Saccharomyces cerevisiae S288C: one gene and its partner. The protein of the gene in region 2 interacts with the protein of the main gene of each other region in a pairwise test. Each region holds a gene or a part of one and is shown on either strand. Other genes may lie near its edges. The genes, in order: RMD6 and RDS1.

Region 1 (3,721 bases), on a different chromosome or scaffold from region 2:
TTAAGGTTAAAAAAAAATCATATCAATGGCATTTTAAGGCAACTATATTTTCAGCATTATATTTTACTTTTCCTTTATTTTTTATAAAGTGTCCAGATGGCACCTATTATACAAGCGCAAAATGACATTTGAAAATGTGTGTTAAAATCGCAATTGATCAACTTTAAGGATGATAGAATAAATTGCGTAATTCGTGAACTATAGAAAAGCTTTTTTATTTTGATTTTAGTGAAGGTAAGAAAACATCGATGCTTTATTTCTCTAAGCGCTCTCCAAACTAAGGGGGTTGTAGGAGAATAATAACGTATAGATGAATCACGCTTGATTTGATGGACAATCCCAAAACCATTTGAGATAACTGTAAAGGTTTATATCATAAAACTTTTATAGATGCTACTGCTATAAGTAGTGCAATTTGAATGTTTTTTTTTTTTTTTTTGATGTTACTATGCCGCCAATTATATAATAAATGCAGGAAAATCAACTATATAAATATTGCTAACATGACTTTTATTCGAAAAAAATAAATAAATATAGTGTTTATATTTAGGATTCCTATTCTGTATCCATCTGGAACCTTCAACATTGTAAATAGTGAATATTTATACGCACTTTTTTTTTGGTAGTAAGCACGGTTAGTTATAATTGCAGGAAAACAAGGAACCCACTTCTTTTTACTGTTTATATCAATATGTTGCTCAGCAGAACCTACAGTTTATTCAAATAGAGTGTGTACGGGACTATACCACTACAATCTATGATTTCCCAACTCTTTAATCATTTTGATCACATGAAAGTCTTTGGTAAAGTCAACTTTATCGTCAAATACCTTTACTTGGTGCTGTTCTTTGAGAACTTTGAACCTTTGCACCTCTACAAAGCCAAGCTTCTTTTCATAGTAACCCAATAGGTCATGCTCCATGATAATATCTGCAACCACTCTTTTACACTTATGAGACCGCATCATATGAATTACACTGTAATTGAATAGTTTTATACCATAACCATTACCCATGGATGTAAAACCTGTGATCTCATAACTCTCCTTATTATTTGGTTTGTAGCCGATGGTTGCTAGGGTATGTTCTGAATCGAATGCCTCTGTCAAAAACTGGACCTTCGGAATATAATATGTCGGTAGAGATAAATCTTTGTTTGTTTCACCTTTAAGCTGTTCAAAATGTTCATGGAAATTAGGGTATGCTAAGGTAGGATCATTTAATAATAAGTAAAGCGAGGATTTCTCTATATTCTTGTCAAAGCCCAGATCACTGAATAAAGTCTCAAGGCTGTGCACTCGAGGGCTAACTATGATGCCATATTTGAGTCTTGGGACATCATATCCTCGATTAATTGTTGTATACAAGCTATACTTAGTATCTTTAGATGAATTCTTCAAAATCTCGACTGGGAGTATAACGATGTTGCAAGGGCAAGCTGACATTAGTTTTGTTGTGCAAAGGGCATGATAGACTCTCGATATCTTCAAATAAGTCTTTCTCAATAATTTATGTAGAACCTTACGTTTTCAATCACGACCAAGAGTAAGGTGTATTATATCCATACTGTTTTGTGCATATATTCTTTTTTTGATTTCTTATCTGAAGGAAAAACAAGATCTTCAAAAGTAAAGTTATTGATCCCATATTGGTAACCAGATAAAAGAAAAAGGCAATATCACGTGCTTTTACAAATATTATTTCCAATTGGATTTCTGAGAGGTATGGGTGTCATTTCCTTAACGTTATTATAAACTAGCCAGAATGAATGTACAAGCGGGAGAGTAGCGTCGTGTGATACTATAAAACTCTGAGTGAGGGTACCGTCAAGATTCAACCATAGTGTGCAAGAAGTGTTCATCTTCACCACAGGGGTCATTTGAGCATACAATCCTCCAATGTCGGTAACAGACGCAGTTGCGGTTAAAGTCGTAGATGATTGCCCTATGCGCTAACAAGATATTCTTCAATAGGAGCATCTAAATTATTCTCTCTGAAAAACGAACAATAATCAACACTGGAATTGTAACCATTTTTACCCGGATGGGCGATCATTTCATTATTAACTAAAGTAGCTTTTCCAATACGCCTTGACTTTGTGGGGCAAAGATATTATGCTTTTATCATGCGAGAGATCTTAGGTGCCGCAAAAAAAGATTTTGCTGGCGTGCGCATATAAGACTGTTTTTCGTCCCTGCATTGAGATCGCATCTGTCCCTGAGTAAACGATGCACAGAATATTCAGGCTGTGATTCTACTAACTGAACATTGAGTTAGCACTTATATATTATAGGCGTAAACTATCTCACCAAACTTGCTACAATCTTCTAGAATTGATATTGTATTCAACTTTTTTAATGTATCCAACTGAATGTACTTGATAACCTTCGTTGCATTGACGGCTAGATTCTTTAACCTAGCTGCCGCCTCGGCCAATAATAGTTCCTTCCCTGATATTGACCTTACTAGTTTTTTGAGACACTTCACCAATATTCCAGCAGGACTTTAGTCAGGACCGCTCCAGCCCATATATCGCGCGCCTCCGGCAGAGAGTTAATTAGTGTGTACGATCTTAGTTCCAATGGTGAAAATAGCCCTCAAAACCTTTGCTTTCTCTCACCTAGCTTCGGAGGTCAGTATATTATATGTAAAAAATGCTAAATATACCTGCACTTGAATATGGTAAAAGTGGCGTTACGGATAATGCATTACTCAAGGGAAGTATACAATGCTAACCCCAAATATCAGACTTCATAACAGATTCAACTTTTCAGGAACCAAGAATGATAATTGACGTACTTTGCCTATTATTAAATTTTAATAGTGTCTAAATTTCACTAAAAGATTCATAAATGATCAATTGCAGTTTCCTCCGTAAGAACAAACGGATAACAGACTATGGTGAATAAGGAGCACAAGAGTTTTAAAGGTAGTGCCTCACACGCGCTGAATGTAAGCAAGGTCAATATAGCTGCTGACCTGAAAATGAGATAGCAAATGTAACATTGAATTTATCAACTAAGAGACAGTATAACATAAGTGAAATCAAGATACCCGGCCTCAAATCAAATAAAAGTACAATCCCCTCTTGATTAAAGAACAAGTATAATATTGCTTGATAGTGTATGGTTTAAAATTTTCTATCTTTCTACCGAACACCTTCTGGACCATTGTTGTTCCTTATTAAGAATTCTCAAGTTACAGTATTAAAAAGGCAATATATATTTAGTTCTAAAATGCGCTACTAAGTGCTGGGTAGTCTGATTATGGGATCACTTTATTCATATAGTATACAATATTCAGAGAGGCATTGACTTAGCTACCAAAAAAGTATTGAATCGTTTAATGGCTATGAGAATACTTTTAGAAATGGCATTTTCCTGTTCTGGTGCATGATGCTGGAATAATGATGCTAAGTTTCTTCTAAATGACTGTGACTAGGCGATTACCAAATAATATAATACAATTCCTTCCCTGCTCGTGAAGAGAGAAATTCTATGCCACACTAAATGCATCGCGATAGACATCCAAGATGAAGTCAACCTAGGACTTGGCCCCCCAAATTACGGAAATCGAATCAAATGCAGGCTCTATCTTTTATTACAACTGAAGAATATGGTTTTTGAGGATGTATAATGAATTCGAAATAGTATGATATGAGTCTGAATGAGTATTATCAGTAAATGATGAAGATGTATTTTACTGAATGCTTCTTGGCAGTT
Region 2 (4,622 bases):
CGGCAGTTTCAGAAAGAAATCGGAGGCGTCCTAACTTGCTAGATGAGTCGGACGCGGACCCAATCATTTTAAGCACGATGGATATGCTTCTTCTAGATGATCGAAAGAGTAATTGAATTTTTTCAAGTCATCATCGAAACCAGCAAAAGATTACGATATTATCCTTCTATTTACCGCAAAGTGTGTTGTTGTTATTATATGCATATTTGAGTATCGTGATCCCTTTTTTTAATCTATTTTATGCATGTAGGACATCTCGGCCGAGCGCAATAGAGGAACGGCCGAGATACTTATTTATACGCACCGCACCTATTACATTCCGCCTGCCTAACCATGCTCATTTTTTCAAATTGACGAGCAGGTTAAAAGAAACACTGCGAAATGTGAGGAATCTTTCCGTCTTGTCGAGTCTTAAAACAGTGGAAAAAACGTGGAGGATAACAGTGTTTCTTGTTTTTGGCTTGTTTTTTTTTTTTTAGCCTTTCCAAATATCCGTATTCTCACAAAGAAGGCATATCGCTCAGATTTTCACCTAATAAATCCCAGAAGGCATCAAAATTGTTGTTTTCCAATAGTTGATTTAAAGCCTCTTCTTCGCTGATATTGAAAAATTCTTCAGCCGTGTTTTGGGACATAGCGGTATTGGCTTTTATTGCGAAGGAACTGGAGAGAACTGCATCCTCCATCTGGCACAACAGAACTTGATTGAAACTCTGCAAACTCTGGCTGCTTATTAACTTTTGTTTGATTCTTCTCGAATTATTGCAGTCCAATCCCCATTTCAATCTCACGGCTTGTTGTACTTTTGGCGGTATTTCACCATCACTGGAAATCTTATCCCAAAACCCATTTGTCACAGATACTAAGCCGCCAACATCGATCAAATACACAACGTATCTAAACATGGGAACAGTTTGGTAAGCACCAAAGTAACTATCTTGAAGTTTTCCCTTTGCTAGATCCACTAAATGTGCCATTTGGTTACGAATGTGTTTAATAAGTCTTTCTAAAATGACAATCATTTCATCTTCTTTTTCATTATCGTTAGTGGATATACTGGAAGAGGCCAATTTTTTCTGACTTTCTTGCTTGTATGAAAACCTTAACAAAATACGACATTGGAACATCCAGATCCTTACAAGCATAAAACATATTTGTTTATCTATGATATAACCGCGACTCTCTAAAATGTTCCCTTGAAACTTATTCTCGAGATAATCAGATATCAACCCTGCTAGCTTTAAGTATGCATTGAAACTTTTCAAAGTAAGGAAATGATAGTTCTTTTCATATTCTTCCCAGTGCATAACACATTTTTTTTCAAAATGTAACGATAGGACATCAAAAATGTTTAAAAAACACATACTTCCCACAATATTTGTAAGAAATATTTCAGTTTTTTGAATATCCATGACATCGAGAACCGTACTTTTGCCAACTTTGATCGCATTTGGTTCCTTTTCATGAAGGGGTTGGTAAATCGAACTTGTAGGAAAGTTCTCAGCCATAAAATCTTCAGATCTTTTAATATTTCCTAAAATGTGGAAAAGCTGCGGATGTTGTATAACTGAAGTGCAATCAGACATTAGTTTACTCAAAATGACGTGAAATTTGTACTTATTCCAAACAATATCATTCATTTGCACGTTCGATTCACTCGCAGAACTTTTTTCATACTCTGAGGAAGCTTCAATATATTCTTCGAAGTCTGTTAAATATGCCTCCATATATTCACTATTTGATTTACCAGCATCACCTTCAGCAAGAGAAATTTGAAAAAGTAATGACTGAACTCCTAACCATAATATCCGTCTCTGCCTTATCACTTCTGGATCTTTGAAACGTTTGTACTTCGAAGGCTCATATTGAAGACCTAAGGTCATGGACAAATTTAAAAGATGGTGCAGAGTAAGCAAGTTAGTGGGGCTCAGTACACAATCGGGACTCTCGGGATCTAAATGCTCTGAAACGTAGAAATATAAAAGGCAAGTAAAAGTGTTCTCATTTGGATAGCGAAATACATCCAGGAGGCATAATAGTTTATGACATAAAAGAGAAAGTTTCCTGGCACTTTCGGAGGCATTTTCTTTTACCATTGAAAGAAGATTTGCATCCAATTTTGAATGCATCAAGGCCATGGCCATTACTATTGTAAGTAATGACAAAGTTTCTATTTTTTTGCGCACATTTTTAACTTCAGTACTAATTTTCCAACGATTATTGTCGTCTTGTAAAAGCAAACTAGTGAGATCGCTCTCAAAGAGTGAAATGTCCATAAAAGGATAGAAGGGATAAATATTTTGATAGAAACACCTCAAAAGTATTTCACAGTCTTTTTTTTGCATCAACACGTCTTCCACTTCAGCGATGAGTGACGGTAGAAGAGTCGAGAAGTTTTCTTCTTCCATTGAAAATGCATTGTATAATAACCCTAAGGCGGCAGACTGAACTCGAAATTGCTTACTATGTTCTATCCGTCTAAAAATGGCCTTTTCTATGAATGACAATGGTCCTAGTATACTTCTTGATGTGTCTTCACAAGGAATACCATTAGCATAATTGCTAAAGTCAACAAGCGCCATGCCGTACAACGAAGCACAAAGTGCCCTGATATACTGGTCATGTTGCGCCAGACTATGCGCAGCAAAAGGATAATCCAGAAATGTAACTAATCCTACTATAACTAGCATATCTTCGGCGTTCCATATCGACAGCGTAGCATTAACGACACCTTCAGGCACTTGTAAGGAATATCTAAGCCCAGTCCTTTCAAGTACAGGTTGCTGTTCGAAATTGAGCTTATGAGAGGAATTGAATCCATCAGAGTCGTTTGCTGCAACATTGGCAGATAAATCTGTTCTCTCTTCATATTCACACTGTAATGAATTTTGTTGGCATCGCGAGCAAGCAGGCCGCAGTTTATCACATTTCCGTTTGATCTTTTTGCATTGCAGGCAAACCAATCTTAACCGAGGTTTTTTTACTGTAATCGAATCCATCAGAGCATTTCAGCAGCCAATTTCATGTTCATTTGTTTATCTACCGCTTACATTAATAAAGTATTAATGAGTAACATTATTAGTAATGATGTCAAAATTTCGTTCTCAATGACTTGTAATAATGAGTGTAATAGTGATCTGCACGGGTCTTGAGTAGAAAATCTACCGAATGCAAAAATGTGAAGAATACACGCTACTATGTAAATCTTTATTTTTCAACTCATTTCAAACCATTGAACCATCCTCTTAGATAGCACAGTATATTAATATAGGCATTCTTTGTAAAAATTTGCGCTCTTCTCTTTTAAAATTGAAGTGCTTTAAGAGGACCTCATCAGACATGCTCGGACTCTAGATTTCGAAGTAAAAGCATGATTAACACTCTACCTTTCGGACGAAAATTGCATTAATGTACCTACTTAATGGGTATTCAGTTTTCAGATTTAATAGTTTGGCTTCGATACATATGAGTAGGCTAAGTATTAAGTTAAATCGCAGAACAAATGTAGACGTACTCGACATGAATGGGTAAAACCCTGCACACATTTCGTATTGAATAAAACTTACTGCTCTGCACTGTTGTCGAGAGATTCTAAATTTTCATCAAAATTTCCCTTAAGTTTAAGAAATATCCTATTCAAGAAATGAATGTCCCTATATATAGGTCATGTGACTACCGAAGAATTGGTTTAAGGTATACATACAATGCAAACCACTTTTCTCTTGTTATGTAATGGGTCATGATAAATTCCGAGATTTGACATGCATTTTAAGAGATTCTGAAAAATATTACGTATATAGACTATTTATGGAATTTCTTATCATAATCGACCAAAGTAAATCTGTATTTGACGTCTCCGCTTTCCATCCTTGTAAAGGCATGGCTGACGCCTTCTTCGCTGATCGGAAGTTTTTCCACCCATATTTTGACATTCTTTTCGGAAACTAATTTCAATAGTTGTTCGATTTCCTTCCTAGATCCGATAGCACTGCTTGAGATTGATACTCCCATTAGGCCCAACGGTTTTAAAACAAGCTTTTCATTAACTTCAGGAGCAGCAATTGAAACGATGGAGCCTCCAATCTTCATAATCTTAACGATACTGTCAAAATTAACTTTCGACAAAGATGATGAGCAAACGACAAGAAGGTCCAAAGCGTTAGAGTATTGTTCTGTCCAGCCTTTATCCTCCAACATAGCAATATAGTGATCAGCACCGAGTTTCATAGAATCCTCCCGCTTGGAGTGGCCTCGCGAAAACGCATAAACCTCGGCTCCCATAGCTTTAGCCAACAGAATCCCCATATGCCCAATACCACCGATGCCAACAATACCTACCCTCTTACCTGGACCACAGCCATTTCTTAGTAGTGGAGAGAAAACTGTAATACCACCACACAATAATGGAGCGGCTAGCGGACTTGGAATATTTTCTGGTATTTGAATAGCAAAGTGTTCATGAAGCCTCACGTGGGAGGCAAAGCCTCCTTGTGAAATGTAGCCGTCCTTGTAAGGAGTCCACATAGTCAAAACGTGGTCATTGGTACAGTATTGCTCGTTGTCACTTTTGCAACGTTCACACTCAAAACACGCCAAGGCTTGGGCACCAACACCAACACGGT

What was found.
Region 1: the proteins of RDS1 (region 2) and RMD6 interact in a two-hybrid assay, tested with the Saccharomyces cerevisiae proteins (one large-scale study listed by BioGRID).

The regions. Positions count from the first base shown.
Region 1 is NC_001137.3:11,443-15,163, reverse strand, and holds RMD6 (Rmd6p), read right to left. Parts: upstream 1,445-3,721; coding exon 749-1,444; downstream 1-748. UniProt on the Saccharomyces cerevisiae protein: Required for sporulation. Required for meiotic nuclear division.
Region 2 is NC_001135.5:309,335-313,956, reverse strand, and holds RDS1 (Rds1p), read right to left. Parts: upstream 3,000-4,622; coding exon 501-2,999; downstream 1-500. Other genes in the region: AAD3 (putative aryl-alcohol dehydrogenase), read right to left, coding at 1-67; ADH7 (NADP-dependent alcohol dehydrogenase), read right to left, coding at 3,802-4,622. UniProt on the Saccharomyces cerevisiae protein: Zinc cluster transcription factor involved in resistance to cycloheximide.